Linked DNA regions of Schizosaccharomyces pombe. The protein of the gene in region 2 interacts with the protein of the main gene of each other region in a biochemical or structural test. Each region holds a gene or a part of one and is shown on either strand. Other genes may lie near its edges. The genes, in order: pcm1, cdk9 and pct1.

Evidence for each region.
Region 1: the proteins of cdk9 (region 2) and pcm1 form a complex in vitro, tested with the Schizosaccharomyces pombe proteins (one study listed by BioGRID).
Region 3: the proteins of cdk9 (region 2) and pct1 form a complex in vitro, tested with the Schizosaccharomyces pombe proteins (one study listed by BioGRID).

The regions. Positions count from the first base shown.
Region 1 is NC_003421.2:124,219-135,150, reverse strand, and holds pcm1 (mRNA 5'-cap (guanine-N7-)-methyltransferase Pcm1), read right to left. Parts: upstream 5,459-10,932; 5' UTR 5,323-5,458; intron 5,264-5,322; 5' UTR 5,221-5,263; coding exon 4,138-5,220; downstream 1-4,137. Other genes in the region: BTB/POZ family ubiquitin-type ligase substrate adaptor Btb1, read right to left, coding at 1-3,634; rRNA processing protein Enp2, read right to left, coding at 5,953-7,857; GDP-Man:Man3GlcNAc2-PP-Dol alpha-1,2-mannosyltransferase Alg11, read right to left, coding at 9,173-10,588.
Region 2 is NC_003423.3:1,468,568-1,473,682, reverse strand, and holds cdk9 (P-TEFb-associated cyclin-dependent protein kinase Cdk9), read right to left. Parts: upstream 3,116-5,115; 5' UTR 3,004-3,115; coding exon 2,861-3,003; exon of another isoform or gene 2,810-2,860; coding exon 2,728-2,809; exon of another isoform or gene 2,608-2,727; coding exon 1,057-2,607; 3' UTR 501-1,056; downstream 1-500. Other genes in the region: DNA-binding forkhead transcription factor, meiotic Mei4, read right to left, coding at 1-489; wdr8 (WD repeat-containing protein), read right to left, coding at 3,596-4,608, 4,648-4,723, 4,796-5,115. UniProt on the Schizosaccharomyces pombe protein: Component of the positive transcription elongation factor b (P-TEFb) which consists of cdk9 and pch1, and which phosphorylates the C-terminal domain (CTD) of RNA polymerase II and spt5.
Region 3 is NC_003424.3:2,675,168-2,687,075, reverse strand, and holds pct1 (RNA 5'-triphosphatase), read right to left. Parts: upstream 9,991-11,908; 5' UTR 9,937-9,990; coding exon 9,703-9,936; exon of another isoform or gene 9,649-9,702; coding exon 8,971-9,648; 3' UTR 8,450-8,970; coding exon of another isoform or gene 8,027-8,449; 3' UTR 7,785-8,026; downstream 1-7,784. Other genes in the region: bcs1 (iron-sulfur protein assembly ATPase), read right to left, coding at 1-670; cdr1 (serine/threonine protein kinase (NIM1 family) Cdr1/Nim1), read left to right, coding at 5,530-7,311; dut1 (deoxyuridine 5'-triphosphate nucleotidohydrolase), read left to right, coding at 8,027-8,449; ESCRT III complex subunit Did4, read left to right, coding at 11,106-11,387, 11,470-11,520, 11,678-11,908. UniProt on the Schizosaccharomyces pombe protein: First step of mRNA capping. Converts the 5'-triphosphate end of a nascent mRNA chain into a diphosphate end.

The DNA.
Region 1 (10,932 bases), on a different chromosome or scaffold from region 2:
GAGAACCATTGGAAATGCGCTTCTTCGATTCTTGATAAATTACTTGAGATGAACCTTCCTCTCGAGCTGCCTCTCTAAGAATACCATTAAATGACTTTTTCACTCCAGTTGATGACGAAAAACTGCCCCTCTGATGTGTTGCTACAGACCAAGGGTTTGAGTGATTCGATTTACCCAACTCGATATCGATGTGGCCAACATTTGTTTTGGAAATAGGCACTTGCTTTGAAAGCTCCTTTTTTTTCTCACGTTGGGATTTTTTAGTTGGAGCTTTCATAAATCTAGAATCAGACAAAACCGTAGTAGTTGAAGCATCAGCTTTCTCTTGCTCCAGCAATTCTCTAAGACTAGCTCTAGTAGTGTTGTTATTATGAGAAAGATTTTCCCTATTCCTCCATGGACTCGTTTTGTCAAAAGTAATTGTTGCAGTAACAGGTTGATCAGCCCCAGGACCATTTAATTGTGTTTTATCCCCTCCTGACGAAGCAGACTCTATATTGTTTTGAATTTCAACAGAAGCTCCTGCTGTCTTTGTAATGCTCGTAACGTTAACAACATTTGGTTTAGGAGACTTCTCCTCAGCATCTTCCTTATTTAATGAATCACTTTGATTACTTGAAGGAACAATTCCAGATTCTAAAATTACTGCTGAAGTGCTGCATCGACGATCTTCAAAAATAGACCGATAAGGGGAATCGTCCCATAATTGAGAACTTTCCTGGGAAAACAAGTATTCTCTGAGAACTTTAAGCTCATAATTTCTTTTTTCCATCAACACTGGATCTCTTATCAATAATCTATTAGCAATCTTGCTAGAAGGAAGATGTACTCGTTGATCAGAAAGCAATTCAGTTAAACGTTGAGCGACTTTTTTTAAATGGAAACCATCCCATTCACTTATACGATTTGCTTCCAAAAAGAATTCAATATTGTGACAAGCATAATCAATACATCGTGAATAAAGCTCCTCAGCGTGATAACTAAGTGAAAGATCCATTAGAGTAGGTAGAGTTTTCAAATTTAAAAAGCGAAGTAAGGATTGCTGGGCTATGCTTTTTAGTTCAAGAAAAAGAAGCTCGTCTGCAATAGACAAAATTTCGAACATAGTTTCCAACCAATTATGAAAATCGGATTCTTTCAAATCGTCAAAAAGCTCAACTTTTAAGTCACTGTATACATGACGAAGAACAATTGACATATGCTCAACAGTCAAATGAGACAAATTGACGGTTATTGGGATGTCAAAACTATTGCTTTCCATAGAAACAAATTGGAAATAAGAACTAAAGTATTCACTGCGGAGACTTAAAAAAAGACCATGTGCCTTGAGCTCTCCATCTTTAAGCTTTATTACTGTATCCATTGTTTCTTCGCATAAGACATAAAAATTATTATATAGTTGCAGAATGTCATTCGTTAAAGAAAGCAAAGGTTGGCGGGAAACACTAAACGGTAAAACCTCCGCTAAATGAGGTAACTCCAGTAAGTTTGCAAGTTTTGAAAGGTTTTCTTTTAAAGGTGAAAAGCGTGAATCAAGATGCCATGGAGAAAGCAATGTATCCGTGTACAAATAATGCAAAAGAATAGCAACCGCTAAAGGAGGAATATCTTCAACTCTAATTGTTGAATGAGATTGAGTGATTTCTTCAATGTAAATGATGTTGGAGACACTCGATTTCTTTTTTTGTAGCAATAATTTTCTCAAAAATGAAGATCGAGCACACAATATGAACTTATGTGAGTGGAACATAGAAGTACCACAATAAATAGTAACATCAGAAAATGATTGCTTATAATTTTCATAACTAGTAAGAATCGGTATAGATCCTTCAAAAAGTAGCTGCATCTCATTGCTGGATGCAGCGCGGTCTTCGTCAAAAATAGGGACTCCGTCTTCATCTTCGGGAGGAATCAAACGTGGTTGTCTTACATGTAAAAGGTGGTCATAGGGAAGTAGTGAGCGCAAAAGATCAATTAACATATTCGAAGGCTTGTAGATTGGCGGTGGAAGATAATCATTTCGAATTGCAAAAAATGATCCAGAAGCGCTCGCACGGACTCCAACAACCATTTGTAAATTTTCAATTCTATTATATTTGTATGGTCCTCTAGAATACGGGCTACTAGATGACTTTTCTCGCTTTTTTGACCTTAACTCCCGTTTCCAACAAGTGCCATTTCTAGTACATAGTATTAAAGAATTATCAGCGGTCCACGCAATATCTAAAGCTGCAAGGTCTGAAGATTCAAAAATCCATAATGGAGTAAATTTGAATGAAGTTCGTGTGGAATTCTTGGAAGAGGTAGAATCACGATCAAGTAAAAGCTTCATATCAAATTCATAGACTTCGCCTAGTTCTGTAAGCACGGCTAGTTTGTTTTCTGAAGCTAATAATTTTCTAACGTTAAATCTGGTGAGGGAAAGAGGATGCTTAGTTACCTTTAACGAACTACCAAAGTCAACGTTGAATGGCAATTTCACTTGATTATAATTGCAAAAGGCAATTATACTGTTGTTTTGTAAAAGGCATATCGTAGCACGAGTAGTACAAACGGCATGTATGACAGGCGATAATAAGCCAGCAACTCTCCTTGGAGTAGAAACAACTGAAATATGATCAGATATACCTAATTGGCCATTATTTAACCCCCAGCTGTAAATATCAGTGTCAGTCCAAGCAACGCTATAACTTTTTCCAGCCGCCATTCCAATTATCTGATAATCCTTGAATGCAGAGATACGCCTAGGGGTAATTTGAATTGGATCATCCTTTTTCAGTTCGTCATTAGAAAGTCCCAGTTCACCAGAACCATTCTTTCCCCACGAATAAATACTTCCGAACTTTGTAAGAGCAAGTGAATGGGTATGACTAACAGAAATCTGGATAACTTTATGAATGATACCAGGAATAGGAATAAAGTTATATTGAACGTCCGTGTTAAAACCTATTCTCCCTCCAGCACCAATACCACATACGTAAACATTTTGCGACGGCTCATCCGTTAGTACGACGCTGTGAAATTTGGAAGCCTGCACATCAAGGATTTTGTCTCGGGAAAAGAGTTGACCTGATGTGGGAGACTCTGTTTGGTTTTTCAGTAAAAACACTCTTTCTGGCGATGAAGGTTCTTTCCCATTTGCTATTCCGAGCGTATTGTTTACGTTAGTACCAAAGCCATAAAGTTCATTTCCTATTATCGGTAAGTCAAGAACCGGATGAATAGTGCTTGAAAGGACTCGTGATAAAAATTGAAATGGAGAAAGACCTTCTTTGTCTTTAATACGCAATGATCTGAAGGAGGGATCTTTTGATAAAAGCAAAGACGCTGCTTCCAAGTTGCCAACGTAGATTGCCCGATGCAACGCCGTATATCCAGATTCTTCATCTTGCACAAAAACATCAATGCCTTTATGCTGCAAAAGAGATCTAACAAAGGAATTTTTATTCTCAGAAACGGCGATGTGCAGCACGGTGCGTCCGTATCGATCTTTTTGGTTGATACGGAGTTTTTGTCCGCTCTTTTCCGAAAAACCCTTTCTAGGCTCTTTCACCTTTGAATCATCTTGCTTCAGTAGATTTTGGAATGAGCGAATGTCGTTGCAAAGGTAATACGCGAAAAGCAGATGACTCATTTAATCAATCGAGACTAAAAAAGGGCGCAATGTGAATTTATCATTTAATCAATCGATTACTCCATAAGAAATTTTCTCTCAAATCAATTAAAACGTTCCAGTTTTTTAACTTGACTGTTGCTGAAGAAAAAATGGAAGAAGAGTAGCAGTGGATGCTGGTAGTTGAATACCGACAGGTGCATTGATTTAAGCTATCGCTTAATATTTGAGGCAATTTTTGGGGCAATCTGATTTGATGAAATATGCCTGGGAGCATACTTTATTTATTCGCTTAAGCTGGAATGAAAGAGAGCATGTTACTTATGTATAAAATATATGAAAACAGAAAAAGAAAGAATAAAGGCATAAAAATGAATAAATAAATAAAAGTCATTGCCATCAAAAATTAATCTACATCTTTTAAAGTCATCTTTTTTTCTACCACTGTACTGATCTTTCGAGCGTGAAAGATCTTTCTACAATGCGGTCTGCACAGTGAATCAGTGGGATAAGGAAAGAAAAGACTAAATTCCCCTCTTCTCAAAGGCAAATGCTAAATAAAATCCTGCTGCTTCTTTTTCCTGTCCACCAATTCCACGGTGTCCTTCATTATCAACGACTTTCATTCGATCCATTAGGGGTCCATACGTTTCAGAGTTTTTCTCTTCATTTAAGATGTCCAAAAAAGGTTTTACCCATATTAATTCAAGATTGTATCCTTCGGCAACAGCACGAAAGGCTTCAAAAGGAACTACATATTCAGGAACATCGGTAACAGCATCCTCTAAATAAAAATAATATTGAATTCCATACGGAGGTCGAAAAGAGCGTGGAGGTGATTCAGGAAATCTGACTTTGTATATGTCATTTCCCCATTCTTTTTCTCCTGGTTTAAGCATTTTAATATGTTTGACAATTACATCGGAATTGGGAATCGTTCCTATCATTACTCCACCACGAGGAAGGCATTTAGAAACGTTCCCCAACAAGACCCTAACCTTTTCTTCGCTTTCAAATGCATAATGCATGCAAAACTGTAGAGAAACAACGTCAAATTTTCTTTGGTCTGGGGGAAGTAATTCGTTAATTGAGCTAGAAAAACAGTCGCCAGCGTAGAATAGTGCATCAAAAGAAGCATGCATTTCACGGTATCTCTTCTTGGCCTGATTTACGGAAACTTCAGCTATGTCAATCCCAATATATCCATCAATGCCAGCTTTGTCCCATTTAATTAAATCACCACCTTTTCCACATCCCATGTCTAGTACCAAAATAGGATAATCAGAAGCATGGGGTGCGAATTTTTGTATGAGAACAGATTTGATCCAGTTGTTAAACCTCTTTAGTTGAATAATAGGAGAAAATTGTCGTTTTTTATAACCCAAATCAGGACGCGCGTTATAGTGTGAACGTACCACATCCTGCGCATTACCATTGTTTTCATGCCTATTATAACCTCTGCGACCAGAGTTGTCATTGTTTTGGAAGTAATCGCGACGCCTTGGTTGTTGTTCAATTACTCGATTCATTTGTGCAGTAGGTCTCGCATATCTGCGATTTTCTGTTGGAGGCTGTTCCTCATGCACTCGGGAGTTCGAGCTGCTCATATCTCTTATTATAAATATTATTATAAATAAATGAGAATAGTTTCTTTCAAAGGTTAACGATCTTTCCATCATATGATGACTATCCATCGATCACAAACTTACATACAAATAATTTTCTTCAAAATAATTCAAAAAACAGAAACTTCTTTAAAAAAGATCAAAAACATATGACTTTTAAAACTTGCTTTACTGTCTTAGAGAAATTAGACTATATTCAATAGCATGAGGTTGCAGTGTGGTTGGTATACTGGCGAGAAAAGTAGATGTTGCAATACGAAGTGGATTACCAGATTCTTTACATTACCACAGCTAAGATATATATAATTTGTTGACAATGTTTTCAATTCAGCCAAATTTAGTTTACATATAAAAAACGAACCTGCTTCTAAATAAATAAATAAACAAAACTTGAAATTTTGGGCGACTAATCTACTACTGCCAGATTGCAACAAGAAGTAATCATAAAACAATGATAGATACATAAAGTAGATATTTCATTAAATTGCTTATTGCTTACCTATTAAAAACCGAAATTAATTTTTTGAGCACACGAATCCATCGTATGCGAAACCCAAATACCAACTTGCTAAACCAAAAATAAAGCTAAATGAAGATGTATACAACACAGAAATTTTTTATGAAAAGTGACAGATAATGTATGCACGCCTGCAAATGTTTCTATATCCGCCAAGTAGTGGTAAACACAAATTTGACAGTTCTACCGTGCTTTGGTTACATGTTTCGGAAAACGTTTTTGCTAGCTGAACGTCGACCTTGAGTAACTTGTTTCTTTTTGCCAGACGTTGAATCCTCGTCTCGATTAACAGGTTTAGACTTCTTTTTCTTTTCAACCTTGAATGTCATTTCCATACCAGAGGGAGTACTACGAATGGTTTCTTGAGGTGTCTTTTCATTGCTGACCTGCTGCTCCGTCTTTCTTCTGTCAACAAGTGCATCGAAGGTTTCATTTTCTTCCTCCATATCAGACAGTGACTCCTCATCAGAACTAAACTTAATACCCTTGGTATGTTCCTTTTCTTCTTCGGACTCTTCCGCAGCAGTAAGGCCCCTTGCTTCAGACCTAGAAGGATGTAATTGCTTATATTCCAAAGTATCTTCATCCACTTCAAATTCTTTATCTGTGAATACATTTTTGAAACGTTCGTCTTCAAGGATGCTAGGTCCGTCCGTAACGCCAGTTTTCTTACGCAACTTGTTCTCTTGATAAGATAATCGAGATGCCAATCCAGCATTGACTTTTGGACGATTCTGAGAACGAATCTTGCTTGCACGTTGCTTCTCCAGACGTTCTTTGACAATTTTTTGACGATGTTCCTCATAAGAGAAGGGATTAGCAATCAGTCTTGCCTTTTCATACAGATTATTATCAATAAAGAAACCATGCATGTAAGCACGAATAACACCTGTTCCAACAAGATGATCTAAACCGAGATTAAGGAGTTCTTTCTTAGTTACGAACTTATAATCATCATAAATAGTAGGCGCGGGATTTTCTTCCATTTCTTCTGTAATATTATCGAGGAAGGAACACCAACGGGGAGCAGGATTTAACGATGGAATATAGAATGCGTGCATAGGAGAACCTTCATTAGCTGTAAGAATTAAACCAGTACCCTCAATGGGACAAACATCGTTCAACTCAACCGTAGGTTCAATAGAGCTAAAAGGCTTCCCTGTATCCTTTTCCCAAATCTTAATGATTTTAGAGTCAGCAGAAAGTACCCTCGCAGTTCCATCTAATGCACTATCCATCCAGTGAAGAGATTTAATGGGCATGCTGTAACCCTGGTCTTTGCTCATGTAAGGACTTGAAGAACGTAAATCATATAACAGGGTGGCACCATCTGAAAGGCCAATCGCAACATTAAGTCCATCGTTCCTATATTTTAAAGCTGTTACAGAACGAGAATTGTCGGAATAAGGAGTAGAAGGTACAGTGCTAGGAATTTCAAGTATTCCAACTCTAGAGCGATCACGAGGATCCCAAAATTCGACACTGCCAGCATCTGTCCCAAAAGCCAACAATTGGTGCATAGGATTTATATCTATTACATTAACACCACCAGTCGGACTGTCAATTTGGGCGCTTTCAATTTTGAGAGGATTTAAAAATCGACCCTGTTCTAAATTCAACCGATAAACTTCATCGCCAGCAGCCGCAAGGTATAAATCACAATTGGGATAGTGGTACTTCAAATCTCTTCCATATTTAGGAATTCGAGTAGAATAATGAATTCCGCCCTGACTGTGAAAATCGACCGTTCGATCAGTTTGTAAATGAACACTTTTGGTCCAGTCATCTGATAGAATCTCAAACTGAACATTTTCAGCATCTGTGTGTCTTTCAAACTTCAAAGACATTTCTGCAAAGTCAAAAACCTTGATGTGAGGTTTGTACACACCAGTTGCCATTGCATATTTGCCGTCTCGAGTGCATTTGATGCGATTACTAGCCTCAGGGTATTCAAAATCTTGTAAAAGTTCAATCCTATGAGACAAAGCATAATCTTTCTTCAATTTCCTTTTACTAATCCAATTAGGTAAGCGTTGGGTTACGCCTTCACCAGAAACTGTGTAAACCCGTACATTATTCGGATTTTGAACTTTAAGAGACATTCCGTTGAATTCAACTCGGAAAAAATCAATTTCTTGATTATAATCTCCCCTATATTTTCTTCTTAAAAAAGAAGCGGTGTTTTGCTTTTGGAACAAAATTCCTTCACTTACTTAACAATACGATTTGATTTAACGAAACTTAACGACATTACTAGCTTTCGCTATAGTTTTTGCAATTGAATGGTTAACAATTAAATGCAATCGAGATTGATTATTTTATAAAGAACTGAGGTCTCATCATTGCCTGAAGATATATACTTAAAATGATTCTATTTATCACGACAAAAAGTTTCTCAAACTTAGCGTATACCGTATTGCATTTCCTTAATGGTATACAACGCACTTATGTAAACTCATATCAAATAGCATTCAATGAATTTCATGGGATGAATAAAAAATTAGTATAGAAGTTCAAAAACTTCGTGCATTAATTTTTCAGACCTAGAACCCATTTACCGTATTCTCCTATTCAAAAACTATTGCTAGACGTATTCTTTTGGAGGTATAGCCTATTTAATTGCCTTTTATAGCCTTTTCGCGAACTTTGGAATGAATAGGTAATAGGAATGTGAGCTTTTCCTTAAACAACTAGTATACCATTAATTTCTCATTGTTAATTGATTGTGATAATAATGTGTTCTCGATTATTATGATTTTCTTTGAATGCCTACCTACGTTGTCAAGTTTGTCAAGGTTTATTACCAGAAAATAATGTTAGCATTCTTAGCTGAAGACCATTTCCATTCAGTAAAAATTTATCGACAACGAACTTAACGGTAAACTAGTTAGTATGGAGATTAGTTTTACAATGGCATTATAGTACTTGTTTAAGTTTCGCTTTTCACAATATTGTCAGCACTTAACTTCGTACCGGCCTAGCCTGATTTTATGCTGTATTTTTTATGAGAAAATTATAATTTTCAAATTTCCTTATTCAAGAATATTTGATATGAATTACTTGAATATCAAAAGAGCGAATCAATTAAATTAAGAAATAAGTACCAACCTGGTACAACAGCATTAAAAGCAGTAAGAAAGAGACAATGAATGAGGGCTTCTCATTTAATAATACACATCGTAAGAGGTGATTAAGAGCCTGTAATTGACAACGTTAATGCCCCAAACTGTTATTTATTATGTGAGAAGAAGTAATGAAGAATTAAAAATTCATCGAAAAAAAGGGAAAGTAAACTGTTTAATAAACAAAAACAGTAATAAACTTTATAAGGATACACCTAACAAATAAGTAGAAACGAAAGGATTTAAAAAAAAATGCCTCATCTTTCATGAATTAAACAGTATAGACAACAACATATTAGGTACGACTGTAATCTTCACGAAGGAGTTTGGCAAACACATTTCCAAAATCGCGCATAAAAACGTGTTCGCCAAAACGAGCGCAAGCTGAACGAGCATTGATTCTCATCTCTAATTGCTCTTGAGGACTCAATGTAAGAGCTTTATGGTAGGCTTCAGCATATTCGCTAATGGTGCTAGCATGAAAACCTGTAGGCTTTCCAATCCATGGAATCACGATATCGAACTTTGGGCCACCCGAATTGTTGACAACAGGTATTAAACCAGCAGCCATGTATTCAACGACACCAATCCCAAAATGCTCATTCCACATGTAATTGACACCTATAGAGCAAGTACCTAGATACTCAACTACCTTGGGCCAAGGAGCATCTACAACAAATTTGACTTTTGATTGTAAGTTGAGTTCAGTCGCAAGGGTCTTCAAATGATTCACAAAACACATGTCTTCTTCACCTCGAACGCTACCGACCAGTAATAGCTTCGCTGGAGAATCAGGATGCTGTTCAAAATAGAGAGCAAAACTACGAAGTACATTTTCATGATTCTTTTCAGGTCTGTATTGTGCAAGATAAAGAAGAGTGGGTTCGCGCTTTCTGTTAATGTCGATCTTTTCAAGCTCTGAAGTGTTACAGGGGGGGAAAACAACGGAGAGTTGAATATCTTTCCCCCAAAGAGATGCAATGTGGTTTCTCGTCCATGAAGAGTTAGTCATCACATAGTCCGCATGAGATCCGGCATCTGAATACAACTGAGCGAACCATCTCCAGTAAGCCATTTTAACCTTAGCAAGTAGAGATACTTGTTTTAAGGACTTTAGCATGTCGGTAGAAATCGTGGGATAATGAACGTACGCGCCGACAGGAATATTTTGGAAGCTTTTAACGACACAAAAAGTGAAAGCATATCCCATGGTGTCAATGAAAATGTCAGGTGCAAATCGATAAATAGCTTCGAAACCTAAAATCATACTTCCTAGCGATTGTCCAAGCAATGTAAACCGATGCCAAGTAGTGGCGGACACAAGGAAACGAAGTTTTAGATAAACAAAAACTATTTTGGAAGAATCCAGGTCGATTTCAAATGTATTCTTGACTCTGCGCAGAATTTCGGCTTTACTAACATTGTCGCCAGTATACACAACAGAAATAACATTTGGAAACTCCGTTTGGACAGATTTGACAGCTGTCCATAATACTCGTTCACCTCCGCCTCCAGCATTGCAGTAAGGATGAAAAAACCCGACGGTTCTTGCTAGTTTCGGCTCCACGCCCACTTGTTTGTATAAACTAGCTTTCACAGGGGCTATCTTTTTGATAAGTCGAATTCCAATTTCCTTGCATATTTTTCTTCGTATATGTGAATGGATGGCGACCACAGCAATGAAAAGAGCAATGGCAAGTGTTGTAATCATTTGGCACGCTACAAAATACAGATGTAAGCAAATCAGTTAAAAGCTGAAACGAGATAAAAATGAGAAAAGTAAAAGAAGGGAGGTAGAAGGATTAGGCTGATGTTTTAACTGTCGAATAAATGAGGTAGCTAGATAGATATGGATGACAAGTTGCAAATGAGAAGCAAGTGCTCTAAACAGTGAAAAAACTTGAATGACTGATAATTAATAATATAAGAAATAAGTAAAAAACCTAAATTAAAGGCTACGCAACACCACAAGCATATAAGACGTTCAAGTCAGTAGTATGAGGTAGTTGCTACGTATAGGTACAGTATGAGTTGAATGGTAGTGAGTTTGGCAAA
Region 2 (5,115 bases):
CTGCATATGGTCAGGATCAATTGTCCAATAATGACCTTTTAAAGTTTTACCCTTGGGTTTTTCTACTTTGATAAAGGCTTTGTTTAATGAAAGGTTGTGCCTAATGCTATTTTGCCAACCACCATCATGGTTGAGGTAGTAGCGAAACGTGTTGCGAATCCACGTATAAATCCCGCTTAAAGTCAGTTGCTTGTTATGTGATTGTAGGATCGCCAAACCGATTAATGTAGCATAAGAACACGGTGGTTTTTCACCAGTATCCACAAAGCCCGCCATTTCATCTCCAAATATCATTTGTCGTATACTGTCACTACTCAGGTTTTCTTTATTCTCTTCACGAAGCAATGCTTCAGTTTCGCATTTTTCTTTAGAAGACACATTGGAAACATTTTGAGAATCATTAATTTTTGAAGATTCCTTTAATGAAAGGCTAAGTATGACCTTTTTGGGTTTACCATGTGCTTCGACATTCCCTTGATTTTCAACCATTTGAACAATTTAATAATTTTTAGAGTACTGATTATTATATTTATTAGGTAATTATTAATGGTATTTGTGTTATTTTGACTCTGTTTTTGGATGACGGGTTTTGTAGTAGGTAGGTGGGAGAGGGCTGGTCAAGCCGTATACAAACAAGAGGTATTTAACCGAGGTCAAAACATGGGTATGGGAAGGGAAGAAAATACCGTAAATATGTAAACACAAGCAAGGAAAAAAGCAGTTTTGTTGAAAATAAAGTAATTTTCTTTCCAATACATTACTTACAAGTCATGTTTTAAGATTATAAATTTAGTAAATAAATAATACAAATAAAAATCTCCGTGCTCAATTTGCTAAGGTCAAGCTTTTAAAGAAAAAAGAAATATAATTAATTTTCTTTGCTTTTTCCTTTTTGTTTTAAATTTTATTTTGAGCTAGAAAACCAACTTTGGCCTTTAATGAACAGTCGCCATCACGCGGAAAGGCCATTAAAAATATTATGGGATGCTCAGCAAATTAAGTTAATTTAAGATATGAAGAGAAAGCCAAAAAGTAAAAAGAGCACATTCGTATGGATCATTTAGGAGTGTCATCAACGTTGGAATTTTCATGAAAAGAGGGTGACTTCAGATCAGATGTGGATTGTTGGTGCAAGCTAGTAGAAGATGGATGTTGCTCGTTGGTCTTTTGGTTGGCAGATTGTCTAGCAATTGAGTATTCAGGAACATATGAGTCAATGTACTTAATATTGTGTTGTGTTTTGTTGGTATCCGCATTTTCGCTTGCTCGAGATGTCGTTTGTACTTTGCTATTATTCTGGTATCTGGAGGACACATTCCATGCTGGTTGTTGAGACTGGGAAGATTGTCTTCCTTGACGGCCGTAATCCGAGGGGTTTCTTAATCGTTGAGATCGGTCTTGTTCAGGCCGGTAGTAGCGTTGACCGTCTGCATGAGAATGATTAGAAGTTTGATTCATAGCGTTAGTTTCAGAAAATTCGGAATTTTTCTGTGGCAAATCAGACGTTAAAGGTTTAAAATTTTGCTGACGCTTAGGCTGATAATTAACATTACGACTTCTATCCATGTTACCGCCTTCACGATTGTACGAACCACGTTGGTATTGCGGTTGTGAGTTATAATTTGGCCGACGAATTCCATACCACGGATCGCTAGGTCCACGAGTCATGAACCGGAACTGTCTCTTACCATTAGCGGTTTGTTCAAACGCATGTGAATTAGCATCTCTCTGTTCTCTTTTCCTTCTTTTGTCGTACTCATGAGAAGCACTGTAGCTCTGTAGTTCAGAAGGGTTTGCTGGATATGGTGGTGTTGTAAAATATTCATGCTCTAAAGCCATTGAAGCAGATAAACGTTCATCCGGATTAAGGGTCAAAATAGCACCGCAAAGAGAAGTCATTTCCTTTCCGAAAGTAAAAAATGCAGTTTCAAGTGTTCTAGGGTGTGAAGGAAAAGAGCGAACGCCTTCGCACCCAGGAAGCTTTTCCCAATTTGGCATAGTAGCTTGAGTTGGTGATCCACAAAGGCGAAAGATTTTATCCAATTGGTCCAAATCACTACTTCCTTGAAGGATTGGCCTTCCTTTATACATTTCGGCCATGATGCATCCCACGCTCCACATATCAATAGCGGTAGTGTAACGACGCTCGCCAAGCAAAAGTTCTGGTGATCTATACCAGCGTGTAACCACACATCCAGTGTATTCTCTACGATTAGGTGGAGGCAAGCCAGGATTTTTGTTTGCATATGACTCCTCCGTTATCACACGTGCGAGACCAAAATCGGCAATTTTTAAAATCCCGTGATTATCAATCAATAAATTAGCAGCTTTAAGATCTCTATGAAGGATAAGCTGATCATGTAAGTATTTGGTTCCAGCAAACAATTGCTTCATATAGCATTTAATTTGCGGCTCCGTGAATTTTACACTTGGATTTTCTAATAAACCTGAAAGGTCATGATCCATATAAGGAGTCACCATATATATAGAACCACGACGTCGATGCTTCTTGTCTGCACGAACAACAGTCATATCAGATAATGGAATAATATTCTCGTGTTTAATCGATTTTAAAATTTTTATTTCGCGAATGGCTGTAATGGGAAACTAAAATGTAATGCTTTAGTATTTATTCATGAATTAATTAAAACAATTAACGCAATCAAGTCGATGCGTCCCAAGTCATTCTGTCAAAATGAACAAGAATCTAAACAAACATCTACTTACACCTTCCTTTTCAGTATGCATGAGTATTCTTTTCAGCGCATATACCTTCCCGTCCTTACGCCGCTGCGATTTGTAAACTTCGCTGGTGAACCAAGTTAGTGATAAAATTCAAAATCAGATATTTGACACATACCCAAATGTTCCTTCTCCTAATTTTTCCATTAAATGATAATCCGTTAAATGGCTGCACCCTACAAAATGAAGTTTGGGTACGACATCTAATTTTCTCCTTGCTGATTTCTCATCTTCGACAGAAACGCTGCTTGAGCGTTTCATTTTTTTAACTTATATTATACAAAAGATCCCAACGATTAGTGAATAAAGTTAATTATACAAATTGTAGTATAAACCCGATCGATGCGCGAAATGTTGCATCTGATGAGGATATAGTGGAAGTGGACCCAACTATCAACTATATGCATTAAATACGGAGGCGAAGTAAAATGCGCTATGTTTCAAAATGAGAAAACAATACTGTAAGTATAGAGAATAAACAATGCTTTTTATAAAGGGAAAAAGTTGCATTAGTTTTAAATATCTTTCAAAGGACTCCCTAATCTCAAATAAATGCGCAAAGTTTACAATTTATGAATCAGGAAAGAGTAGTTATTAAAACTCAGGAATAGTACGTACTAAATTTAGAAAAAGATAGTTGAATAGACTGAAAAAGACATTCAAACTATAAGAGGTATGCAAAGGCCTTAAGCTGACGGGGTGCTCAGGGTGCTCATGTTTTACATGCGGGAACAATGAACGTGCATTAAAATATTATAGACATTAAGCGAATTAATTAGGTCGTTAGTAAAATAAAAAGAATATTTAAAAATGGTTACAATAATTAAGACTTTTAAGATAGAAAGTAAATCCCTTAAGATGGTATGGAAATCGTTTGCGTTGTTTCTAACTCATTATCTAAAACTTCTTGAGAAATTATAGTTTGAGTAACTTCGGTAAATGATTCATCTTCATCTTCCACAATGTAAGCAACGGTATATGCATCTTCACCACAAATTACTATAACTGGACGAGAACTGAATTCTGATGGTTGAAGCCATTGAACCTTCTGAATATTAAAACCTTTTTTTGGAACTCCAACGACCCTGGGTGTATTCCAACTTAAAGCCCAGAAGTATAGGAATGTAGCATTAGACGGAATTTTGGATTCTTTCCTAATTTTTGTTTGAATGACCACCAAATCGGGACGACCTGGATGCCATTCAAAATACACTATATGATGTTTTTGAATAAGAACAGTGTGCAGTTTTTTATTCTGTAAATTCCATAGCCAAAGAACATTAGGATATTTAGAAGTAATTGTAGCAGCATACGTCTCATCACAGTTGAAACGTATTTTTGATGCTGAACAAAAGGAGGGTTCTGGGAAATCGGTTCTGAGTTTATGTACTTTTTGATAAGTCATTTGTTGCTCATAGATTGTTTCCTTCTCTTCCCATATATGCATTTCCAAGTCAGTATTGGTATATTGCAAACAATGGTGAAGTCGAAAAACTATACTAAAAGTTTTTGTTTCAAGTAGATGTAAGGTTGAATCATGGTAACTGCACAAAGTTAGATATTTGCCAAAGGGACTCCACTCAAAATCGGAAAAGCCGACTTCAATTAACCTATTTGGTCGATATTCGTGAAAAAGAAGACCGGTGCGATGATAAATATAAACAACTGCATCTAATACGTTTTCCAAAACAGCTAACCAGTTTCCATCTGGCGACCAATGGATACCCGTCGAATCTATTGTAGGAAGCTTACACTCTTTAAGAAGTATCCATGCCTTTTTGCTGATTTGGTAAAATTGAAGGCAATCCGAACCGTTAAAACGAGATAATATAGTACAGAATTGCATGGATGGATGTAAAGCGTAAACTAAACAGTCAGTAAATTGATATATCAGACAAGAAATACCTTTCGAAACATTGGTTTTTACATGTGGAAGCAAATAACCTTTCTGGGTATTTAAAGACCACACAGTAATCTTCGACTAAAAAATTTGCTATTAGCATCGCAGATATATAAGCAAAAAGTTGTGCAAATTTTATTAGATACAACGTACATCAAAGGACGACCAGAGAAGCAGTTCTCCAGACGGGCTCCAGCTGATACTACTCAAAGGATCCTGGTCGCACTGTATGCTAGCATAATAATCGTGTTGTACAATATCTAATACAAACACTTTATCAACTGAGGCAACACAAATTTGATGGCATTTTTCTGCTCCTAAATTGGGTTTCCATAACAAGTATACAACCTTTTGAATGAATTGAGCGTTTAGAAGGAACACATGGTGAAGCTCGAGGGTTTCAGAATTTCGAATTAAGACATGCCCAGAGCGAGATAAAGACGCAATCCAATTACCACAATGTGAAACACTTG
Region 3 (11,908 bases), on a different chromosome or scaffold from region 2:
CGTCGTCTGTAATCATTTTTTTAACATTGCTTTCAAGTACAACACTAGAAAGCATCCTTTTTGATCTAGGGTGCCCGAAAGGCTTCCATTCAGTGGCCCAAGCCGTGTATATAGTAGTCTTGTTTTTTTGAGCACTTTGCATGAATTTTTGAGCTTCTAATAAAAGTTCGGAAAAAATTCCACGATCTCTTGAAAGAGTGGTAAGAGTAATTGTCTCCCAAGGTGTTCCAGTTGTTAAATCTTGCAGACGATTGCTACGCTCTCGTTCTACTTGAATCCAACACTTTTTGTACTTTATGTAATGCTTTCCAGGACCTGGAACGAGGCTGAATATACGATTTGCAACTTGCTTGTCAGGTTTTTCCCTAGCATTTTGCGGCATTTTGAGTTGTCTGTTGCTTTCAACAGCCAGCTGATTTGAATAGCGTTTAGGCACCGTGCTCATCCAATGCAAAAAGGCATTATAACTTTTTTCTTTGCTTGGAATTTCGACAGACACTAGCATCCTTCTTTTTACTAAGCTTGCTCCTGAAATAAGCCCACGACGTAATATGGCTAGCCCAGCACCGAAACCCATTAAACCAATACCAGCACCTAAAAATGAATTTCCACTTAGTAACCCAGAAATGCCAGAAGACGTCGCTGCATCGGCAGCACCTATATTATCCATTTTTAAAGTGGAAAGACGATGAGAAGAAGGGAGGAAAGTTAATATTAATTTAATTCTTCAACGTAACGATAGCGGTTTCTTGCATATAAAGGAAATTTTTGGTATAAATAATTCATAGAAACAATTAAACCTTTATGAATATAATCAATTCTTTACGGAGGACATGTATAACAAAATATTGTAGTAAATCAAATGTCAAAACGCATATGTCAAAATGACCAGTAATTGATAGGTTTCAAACAAAAAAGAAATAAAATGTTCAATGAAGAAATTATATAATCCAATTTTATTGGAATGTTGAGAAAAAATGGAGGAGTTTTTGGTATGAACGAGGTTCTGGGTGAGGTTCATGTAGCCAACAATTTAGTGCTTTGCTAAGAAATTCCAAAAGTCTATGACTTCCGATAGGAGCGAAATAGATATGTTAGAACTAAAGAATAGTATAAAGCTAATTACATGAAACTGTTTTTCACATTGTTAATGTTTGTTTTAAACTTTTAATACCAGCTTGAAAGGTTCTGCTTGAAATAGAGAGAGTAACTTTGCAAAATATTTAACTTTTGACATTGAAATATTTTATGTAAAATGTTGGAAGGATGCATCTTGCTAGTGTTTAATATTTCCAGCCTACATGTGTGTGTTTACTACCCAATTTTTTAGAAATTGTTGCGAGTCTGGAAATCTAAGATCAAAAGTAAAGTATCATATCAAACCTATCCAGTGACAGCAATTGAGTAATTAAGAAAAAATTTCTTCCGAGGTCGCTTGATCTGGACTTTAGAAATGATACAAATGTTAGAGCCTGTAAATAAATTTTTTAATGACTTGATCACATTGATGATGGTAGCATATAATAAATATTCAGAACAAAATAACTGCATATAAATTTGCATTTCACACTAAGATAAGTAATTGATGTAGAACATATACATCCCGATTCTTCATGGCAGAAAAAACGCTTGCAAGTATGTTAGTGATTTGCAATTTTGCACTTGATGAATATAATTAAAAACTAAAGCTGCATCCAAAACATAATTAAATCGAGGCTGATGTATAATATTAATTTTCTTACAGGTATTCGTAAGAGATCGTACTTTGGAAAAAAACTAATGACTTTTAAAATCATTGGGCATACTTTAGTATGAAATTCAAATTGTATTTTGAACTGAGTTGGTGATTATGTATATGCACACTTTCTTTAAAAGATCAAAGATTTTGACAAAGAAAATTCTCTTGGCGAACAAAGAAACATCAACAAAGAACTTGGGAGGAAAGAAATAGTCATTGTTAAAAGCTAAGAAAGGAAAAGTCTTCGAATTTGCCAAAACATTAAGAAATTCTTTATATACTCAAATCAATGTATTTTAACCCACTTGCACTTCTTATACAGGTTTTTCAAGATGCATTTATATTTACATATACTGGTTACCCTGCTATCAATGTTCAACATCATATTCAAGCGTTTTCAAAACCAAAAAAGTTATACTTACAAACCTTGAGTTTTTCATTTCATTTCTTTTTTCTTTCGAGATCAATGAACATACTAAAAAGAATTCATTCAAGCTGAACACCTTCAATGCCTTTCATTGTTTAAAGACTTTATTATATAATTGTACATAATTTAACACAATACAAGCAAGTCCCGAGTGGCTCAATCGGTTTAGAGCGTCTGACTCTTATGATGGTCATCAGAAGGTTGCGAGTTCGAGTCTCGCCTTGGGAGGTTATTTTTTAATGTCTATATCTTACAAGTCCTTCTTATGTTGCAGTAGTGTAAATTACCGTTTTTAACCATCGTGCAACGTGGAACACAAAATTGACTAAATTAGGAAATCCCATTTTCAAAAACTATTATTGACTTCATAAGTTATGAAATGAAAAAGTTTTATACAACAGATCAGATGATGATGAATATTGTGCTAGCGTAATAGCATCTCCACTTTTCATCTTTGGAAACTTTTGCAAAGAAGGGATGTGAAAAATCAGCCTTCAACTTATCCTTTCGTAAGTGCAGCTCCACTCCACCCGGGGGTATAGAAATTACGAAACATCTTGAAAAAACGTCAACGAATGCATCAACAAGATCTTAGCATGTTTCGGATATGTCATGGTAAAGTTCGATTGCTTTGTGCATCTCCGTTAGCAGCTGCATCAAGCGAGTATCCAACGATGATCATCTCGATTCGTTTTGTGTGTTCATGAAACCCACGCCTTGCGTATGAAGTTGCCCACTTTGTATGACAATGAGATAATCTTACACTGCAATAAGGCCATATACCCGTAGTTGTTGGTACGACCACTCACATTCCAAAGTCCAACTCAATAGTGAAGAAATTCATCATTGGCAACAAGTCATCAACACTTCGTTGCTGTTGGACACTTCTACCAAACGTTCTTTATTGACAACTTTGAACGGCTTCGGCTGCATTCCCGAGCCCTGTAACGCCTATCTTTCATGTGGCTCGGAATGTAAACCAGAAACTCAGACAAATACCGCTGTTGGATCGCACTGATGATATTTGTTTATCGAGGCTGTGTTCATTTTTCTTAGTCATTTTAGCGTAACGAACTGACACCGAAAAATATCAAGCAATCAAGTAGATCCATCTGTCCAAGCACCAACCACATCTTTGCTCGATAATCAAACTTGGATTACCGATAGTTAAAGGTGAAGGATCGGTTTTGCTGGTTTCATTCGATTTTCCAAACATCGTCGATTCAGTAGACTGGGGTTGAGTCAGTATCCAAGCCATTCTTGCGCTCAATTGATAATTATGGTAGGTTACCCAAATGTTGTATGCCAACTGTATTACTTACCCGTGGTTATATTTTGAAAACAGCGAAACTGTGTAAACAATTTCTGTTTGTTTCTCAATTGTTTGTGGCGTACACGTATTGCAGCTCTCAAGTTGCTATAGTATATTTTTATTGTCTAATAAAAATTTAATGAATTTATTTAGTTGAAATATTTGCAGTAAGAATGTTCATGTTGATATACCATGTAAAAAAGTCACATAAAGTTGAGCAAGCTGAAAAAGAATAAGTTTTCGCCTCCAAATATAAAAATTTCAATTAAATTGTAGAAAATTATAGATTCTTTATAATATCGTAATTTCTTAAGCGGGGCCTATAGTCTTTCATCAACTTTTCACGACAGTCGTTGTTATTCATACCATAGGATGAAGACGATTTCAAACATCCAATATTCGCTTATAATGATGAAATGAACTTCAGTAACCCGTTCAATACATTCATTATATACTGAGATTTCATCTATTATTGAAGCAAGTTTCAATGTTTGGCATGAAGCCGGCTCTAACACTTGTCAGATTTCAAGTACCTGTTTTCATTATTTTTTTTGCTCAAATTTTCAAAAAAAGTGTAATGGCATGTGTTATCAGATATGGTATGCATCATGTCCCTGGTTATCCCCGAAGTAGAACGGGTTCTTGACCGTGCTACCAAGTCGTGTTACTTTTCGATGAAAAACTGGAATTCCCTGCTAAAACTACACGAGTAAAACAAGAAAAAATATTCATCTATTGCAATAACTTGCTCCTAGATTGCCAAAACGAGTACTACGTAAACAAATGTGAAAGAAGCAGAAAAGACTGCTAAAGTTGCTTTTAACGAAAATGTAAATAAGAGAAGAAAAGACAACTTTAACGGTTCGATTTTACTACAATATGAATATTAATTAAACTTCATAAAGCGAAACTGAAAAACTAAATAAAATTTGCTCTACAGCTATAAATCAGCTGTTAATATTCAAGTTTTTATCAAGACAGCACTATGAGCCTGAGATTACCACCCTCAAGGACTAGAAACCAAGTAGTGGATTGCTTCCGTTCCTTAAGTCATCCTATCGTGATCCGCCGAAATAATCGTAAGCCTTCAATACACTCTTCATATGTTCCCTGATCAAGTCCAAGTAGTGCCCCACCCTTCCCTACTCTTGAACACTTATATCCGCTCCTCCAGCATTCATGTTGTCCTCTGCCAAACTTATCTTGGCCAATTCCGTCTTTTGGACTACTCTGCATAAGAACTCAGCATTGTTTTCGATTTTAGGAATTGCTGGGATCCTGTTTGTATTAATATTGTAGATCGATATTTTGAAACATCTGTAGGCCTTCTATATAGTGGGTTGTTCTACATATTATTTATTTATTCATTCATCTTTCTTTGTTTTACTTACTGTTCTCCATATTTTTATCTGATTATACAGGGTTTGAATTAAAATCCGTTAGTTTATTTTATTCTACCTTTTTCAACTATTTGACCGCCCCAATATTTCCATTTTTACTTTCTCCTTTCTTGTTTCTTCTCTCTTTTAATTTATGAAAGTTCAATCCTTATTCGAATATCATTAACTTAACCTTTATTGGATTTATACATCACGAATCTTATACACTTTACATACTTTCTTTATTTTACGCTCCCCTTCGTTTCTTTTTCTTTGTCTTTACCTTTTTTTATTGCTGTTACTCAAAACGTCTTGTAACTTACATTTGTTATTTGTGTTCTTGTGCTACTTCCCATTTTTTTTTCAAGGTCCGTCTATTTCCGTTCCACGTTTCACTTTTCTGTTCTACAATACACTCAGAAAAGTGCTTTAGGTTATTTATGAGGCACTCTTATTTTATTAATTCGTTTCCAGTATCTATTTTGTGATCACACCCTATTTTGTATCGTGGTGTCATTCACTTTTTCCTTTACTTATTCCAAATTTCATGCTACTTTTTCGACATTTATTCTACTTTTCATCATAAGTATTTCAGATTTTCTGAAGTTGCTATTATTCAGTCTGCAATTTTACTTTTGGAAAGCCTTTTCCCTTAATAAAAGGTTAGATTTGAATGGTGAAGCGACACAAAAATACTATTGGCGTATGGCGTCTTGGGAAGACTTTAGGGACTGGTTCCACTAGCTGTGTGCGTCTTGCCAAGCATGCTAAAACTGGTGATTTGGCTGCCATCAAAATTATCCCTATTCGATATGCCTCCATAGGAATGGAAATCTTAATGATGCGTTTGTTGCGCCATCCTAATATTCTTCGACTATACGATGTTTGGACCGATCATCAGCATATGTACTTAGCACTCGAGTACGTCCCTGATGGTGAGCTTTTTCACTATATACGCAAACATGGACCTTTGAGCGAAAGAGAGGCTGCGCATTATCTTTCCCAAATTCTTGATGCTGTAGCGCATTGTCATCGCTTTCGCTTTCGCCATCGGGATTTAAAACTTGAGAATATTCTCATCAAGGTAAATGAGCAACAAATTAAAATAGCTGATTTTGGCATGGCCACTGTTGAACCAAATGACTCTTGTCTTGAGAATTATTGCGGCTCTTTACATTATTTGGCTCCCGAAATTGTATCTCACAAACCATATCGTGGAGCTCCTGCTGATGTTTGGTCTTGTGGTGTCATCTTGTATTCATTGTTGTCGAATAAGCTCCCCTTTGGTGGTCAAAACACAGATGTTATTTATAATAAGATTCGCCATGGCGCATATGATCTTCCTTCTTCAATTTCTTCGGCTGCGCAAGATTTGTTACACAGAATGCTAGATGTAAATCCAAGCACGCGTATAACAATTCCGGAAGTTTTTTCTCATCCATTTCTAATGGGCTGTACATCATTGAGCTCTATGGATAGCACTACCCCTCCTACCCCTTCACTGTCAATTGACGAAATTGATCCATTAGTAGTTGATTGCATGTGTGTGCTTTGGAAAAAATCATCCTCTAAAAAAGTCGTTCGTCGTCTTCAACAGCGAGATGATAACGACGAAAAATATGTGTATAAAGTTTTATCCGAGATTTTGCGCGATGATATGTTGAAAAAACAACGTTTTGATGAAAATAAATATCTCAGTCTTTACGATTTAATTCACGACAATAATCTTTTCACCAAAGCTTCTATTTCAACAACATCGTTAGTAAAATCCAATGTTTCGACAAACTCTCGCAAAAGTAGTAATTTTGAAGATGAACTTGCTAGAAGAGTTTCTAGTCCGCTTTCAGCCTTAAATCAAATGTCTCAATCTCCAATACCGATCAGGGTGTCTTCTGACAAGGATTATGACAGCTATGCCTGTCATGAAGTAGTTTCAAACCCATCGACTTTGGATGATGACTATAATTATATGTTTGTTTGTCCACCAGAAGAGTATACTTATTCAACTGATAATGTTAGAACTGATTCTCTGGACTTACAATCTCTCCCCACTCCTACCCTTGAGCAATTAGAATCCGTACCATTCAATCGGTATGGCTATGTCCGCATCTTTCCTAGCACCACTCTGTCTAGCACAGCCAGTGGCTACTACACTCCTGATTCACTTTCAACTCCTGAACCATCAATAGATGGGCTAACCAATTTGGACGATGTCCAGGTTGGAGGCTTTGTTCAAGGATCAGGCAATCAAAATAGACGTCCCATATCTTTTCCTGTAATCAGTAATATGCAGCCGAACATAACTAATGTGAGATCTGCTTCTGCTCCTTTATGTTCATCTCCAGTTCCAAGTCGGAGATATTCTCAATATGCTACTAATGCAAGATATACTCCCAGAAAAGTTTCTTCCGGTTCTGTATTACGAAAGATTTCTTCATTCTTTCGGAAGGATTAAATAGGAATTTTTTCAAAAACACAGTCTTCTTCCTCAAAATCAACCATTAATGTCTATACTGTGGGCGGCTATTCAAATGTTAAGATCTGTTTATAATTTAATGAGGATGATAATTATTTTTTTTGGATCTCCCGTCGTGTGTACCTGTACCTTTCTACGAATTTAATGATCTTTTTTGGCAATTGGACCTTTGAGTCTATTAGCAATTTAATGGTTTTAGGGTTTTACGTTATATATCTGTTAATGATTTGGGCACACTAGTTTATATATGTAACTAATGAATATCTTCTATTACAATCGCTTTCCAGAAATCAGTAGTCTGTATAAAGTAAAATTTTGTTGTGAACATTAGTTTTATATGAAATTTGGGTGTTTTTATGTAATAACGTCTGTTGGTTTTTGAAAATTGTCGAATATTCCGGAGTGTTTAGTAATAAAATTGAGGTTTAAGAGTTATCGCAATAAATAAAATATGAAGAAATAATTCCTATAAACGTTTACCTCTTTAGAAAGTTTTTATACACTGTCTACGTTTATATATTAGGTATGTTGTACGGTGTATATCTTGACTAAATGTAAACAAACGCGACGCGCCGTCAACCGCAACGTGTCGCGTAACTTCAAATTTATATGCAACGCCAGTATCTATTGCAAACACTCATTCCCAATCAAGAATTCTATTGTCTGTGAAATTACACAGTTTTATAGTTTAAACATGAGTTTTTTCGTTCAAAAACTTTCTGAAAAAGCAACCATTCCTACTAAAGGCTCTGCAAATTCTGCTGGATATGATTTGTACGCGGCTGCTGAATGTATAGTTCCAAGAAGAGGAAAAGTTTTAGTGGATACCGATTTGGCAATTGCTGTTCCTGAGGGGACTTATGGTCGTGTTGCTCCAAGAAGCGGATTAGCTTCAAAACATAGCATTGACACTGGCGCCGGTGTGATTGATGCAGATTATCGTGGCCATGTTCGTGTTTTACTTTTCAATTACAGTGATGTTGATTTTCCTATAAAGGTCGGAGACCGGATAGCCCAACTTATTTTGGAAAGAATTGTCAATCCACCAGTCATACTTGTAGAGAGCTTAGAGGCTACAGTCCGCGGTGCTAATGGCTTTGGAAGTACCGGTGTTTGAGGCCGCTTTTAAAACATAACCTGCAATCAAAGGTTTGGACACTTGTATTTTATAATGCTATTTTGTATATTCGGTATGAAAATTCTTCAATAAATATTTTTATTGGGTGAAGTAACTGAAAACTTTGCAATTAAAGGAATATAGGAGTTGTAAGCTGCTCTCGTAAAGATACAGTAATTATAACGAATGATGTTATCAGACAAAGCTGATCCTTAATTTAGGTGTACATTTAGAAAATGTACGTAGAAATTCTAACTACCCGTCGTAATAGGTAAAAAAAAAAATAGAATCATCCAAGATTAAGCCTCAGTTTAGAATCACCGAGATACAAAATCGAAAATTAAAATATGTGCATGGGGGTTTATACCTAACGTGACTTTCTTTTACCTTGATTATTGCCCAGTATGAAATGATGATTAAATTAAAGTAATTAAAAACCCCTTTACATTCTGATGCAAAGCAAGGAACAATTATTAAGAAATGACTTAAGAATGTCAAATAAGTAGCAAAAGTGTAAAGAATTAAGAATGCTCTCGTCTCAAAATACGAACATTGTCCATAAACAACTGTACCCTCCGAAACAAAGGAGCTTCCATTCCATCTTTGGCCTTTTGAGCACGATCTCTCAAATCCGCGATGTTACCAAACTCAACTTCTAGCTCATGACGTTCAGTGGTATCGTAAACTGGGTCATTTTGAGTAGTTTTAGTCAAATCAATTTTAATTTCCTGATGCACATAGCCAACGCGATCTTTAAGTCGTGTCAAACTTGGTTGTTGATTACCTGAAGGCATTGAAACAGGTAATTCGTCGCTGATGGAAATTCGTATATCAAAAGCATCATTAGGGCAATATAAAAATAAATCAGCAACTCTTCGCTTTTTCACACAGGCCAAAACTTGATTGTCACTTTGATTTTTTGAGACGCGTATTTTATCTCGTGAGTTATCTTCAGTTTCATAGAACAAATCTACTTGCTTTGTATGCTTATAGGCAAAAGGAAGCCGTCCAGGTTTTTGTGAATCACGAAATGCCTGATTAAGAAACTCATTCAAATATTTATGCTCGGAAGCGGTCATATCACTTTCAAACCGAGTACGAAGATTAAATTCCGGGTTTAAAATAGTTTCATTCATCACCGGAAACTCAAATCGATTTTGAGTTTCCAAGTCAATTAATGTACCAAGTTTCGCCTCAATCTAAAATAAGAAAAAATCAGTTAGTAGAACGTATGACTAAAAACATTTACCAACCTCCACATGTTCAACAGGTTCAGTTATCAAATAATGTGTAAGAAAGTTTGAAATAACTTTAGTCGTATCTGGAACAATCGGTTTATTTAAGAAGTTCATTTCTATCTTTGGTACAGCTACGGATTTTGTCCTTTTTCTTTCGACTTTATCGTGTTCCACAGCATTTTCATCTATCTTTCTTTTTTCAATAGAAGGCAGTTCGTTTTCTTCATGTAATAAACCTTTAAGGTCCATTCGTGATGAATTCGTACTTTTCTTAGTTAATATGGTTAGTAGGTGTACTCACTTAACGTGTACATCCACGTTGCTAAGTTTGTCCCAAAACTGAAGTCAACTAAATTGTTCAATAGCATTACTTTTAATTATACATTTCTTCTTGTAAACATATTAATTGATTCTGACACTGTCACTTTCGGTAGTTCCTTTTTGCCGTTTAGTACTTAGTATACCGACAGGTTGTTTAACATATGCAAAAAGGATATATTAAAAATGGGATTTGTTGAATAAAATAGTTTGATGTGAAATTTTATCAGATATAATACGTATGATTACCGTTAAGTATGAAAACCGTATAGAAACTTACAATAACTTTATAACCGTTCGTGTCGATTTCGTACCTCTATCTGGATGAGTTAGGTTAGGCTACGTTCGTAATTTGTTTCAGGTATAAATCAAGTGTATCGATGTGTTAAAAGTGTGGAAGTAAAGCTATATTGAACTTATCAAACATTGCTAGCTAAGATGACAATGATGTTGATCTTCTTGTCAAAAACTCAAATACTCGCTTGGCATGTTCAAATGAAGCTACTCAAGATGCTTGGTTTAAATACCTCTTTATATAATTTTCAAACTCTCAACTATCCAGTTTATTGAACTGTTAAACTATCAAAAATTAGTAAAGTGTGATACATTGTAAAGTATGCTATTAACTAATAAGCTATTTATTCAACCCAGTTTTACACACACAATTACTTAGCTTTTTTTGAGCCCTCTAAATCAGTTTAATAACTGTAGTATTAAGCTTTTCCTGGATGTTTTACATACGTTTACAAGGTATGATATTTGACTAGATCTGCTTGCTAGAGCATAATAAATACACATTTGCACACATCAATTGTAGCAATTGTTTGTAAAATAACCTTTCCTAGATAGACAAATTCAAAAAATTTTAGTTGGAATTTTTATCATTAATCTTCTGATTGAAAATATATATAGTTAAAAGTCTAGCTTATCAAAAATATAGACTTTAAATATGAAAATTTGTTACGATTTATGTGTTTTTCCAATATAGTAGTTAATATACAAAACGTACTACGTATATAATGATATTATATTAAGCCATTTTGTGTCGTGTGTGTTATCAATAACTAAACATTCATGAGCACAACCACAGCGAAACGCTCATGGGCTTAACTTCTTGGCTATTTGGAGGGGGGAAGTCCCCTCAAGAACAGCTGAGGGCTCATCAGAGATCTCTTGGTCGAGCTGAACGGGAATTGGATCGTGAACGAACGAAATTGGACCAAAGGGAGCGAGCGCTTATTCAAGAAATTAAAGGTAGTGCAAAAGCCGGAAATACTGGTGCTGCCCGTATTCAAGCTCGGGATTTGATGAGACTAAGGAATAGCCGTAAGAAAATGATGAATGCAAAAACGCAGCTACAAGCTATATCTTTGAGATTACAAGTAAGTCCATTTGATTGATAATCTTCACTATATGAGATTTTTTAAATTTTTTCGTTTAACCATAATGCTAATCTTTTTATAGACGATGAGAACCAGCGAACAGATGATGCAGAGTATGCGAGGTGCTACCAGGGTAAGATTACACTAACCCCATTGTTTATTTCTTCTTTCTGATTTATGGAAGCCGTAAATAATCAATTGAGGATCTTCTGGGTTTTAAAAGAAAAGAATTTCATAATGACTTTCCTTTCACCTTAATATCGAAAAATATAGAACTAACTTTTACAAAGTTATTGACAGGGATGAACAAAAGCATGAATATACCGGCAATGGCTCGTATCACTCAGCAATTCGAGCGTGAAAATGAAATTATGGAACAGAGACAAGAAATGATTGATGAAAATATGGACGATGCTTTAGAAGAAGATGACGAAGAGGAAGCTGATGAACTTGTCAATAAAGTGTTGGATGAAATTGGAGTCGATTTGTCTCAAGGATTGCCAGATGCTGCGACCCAAATT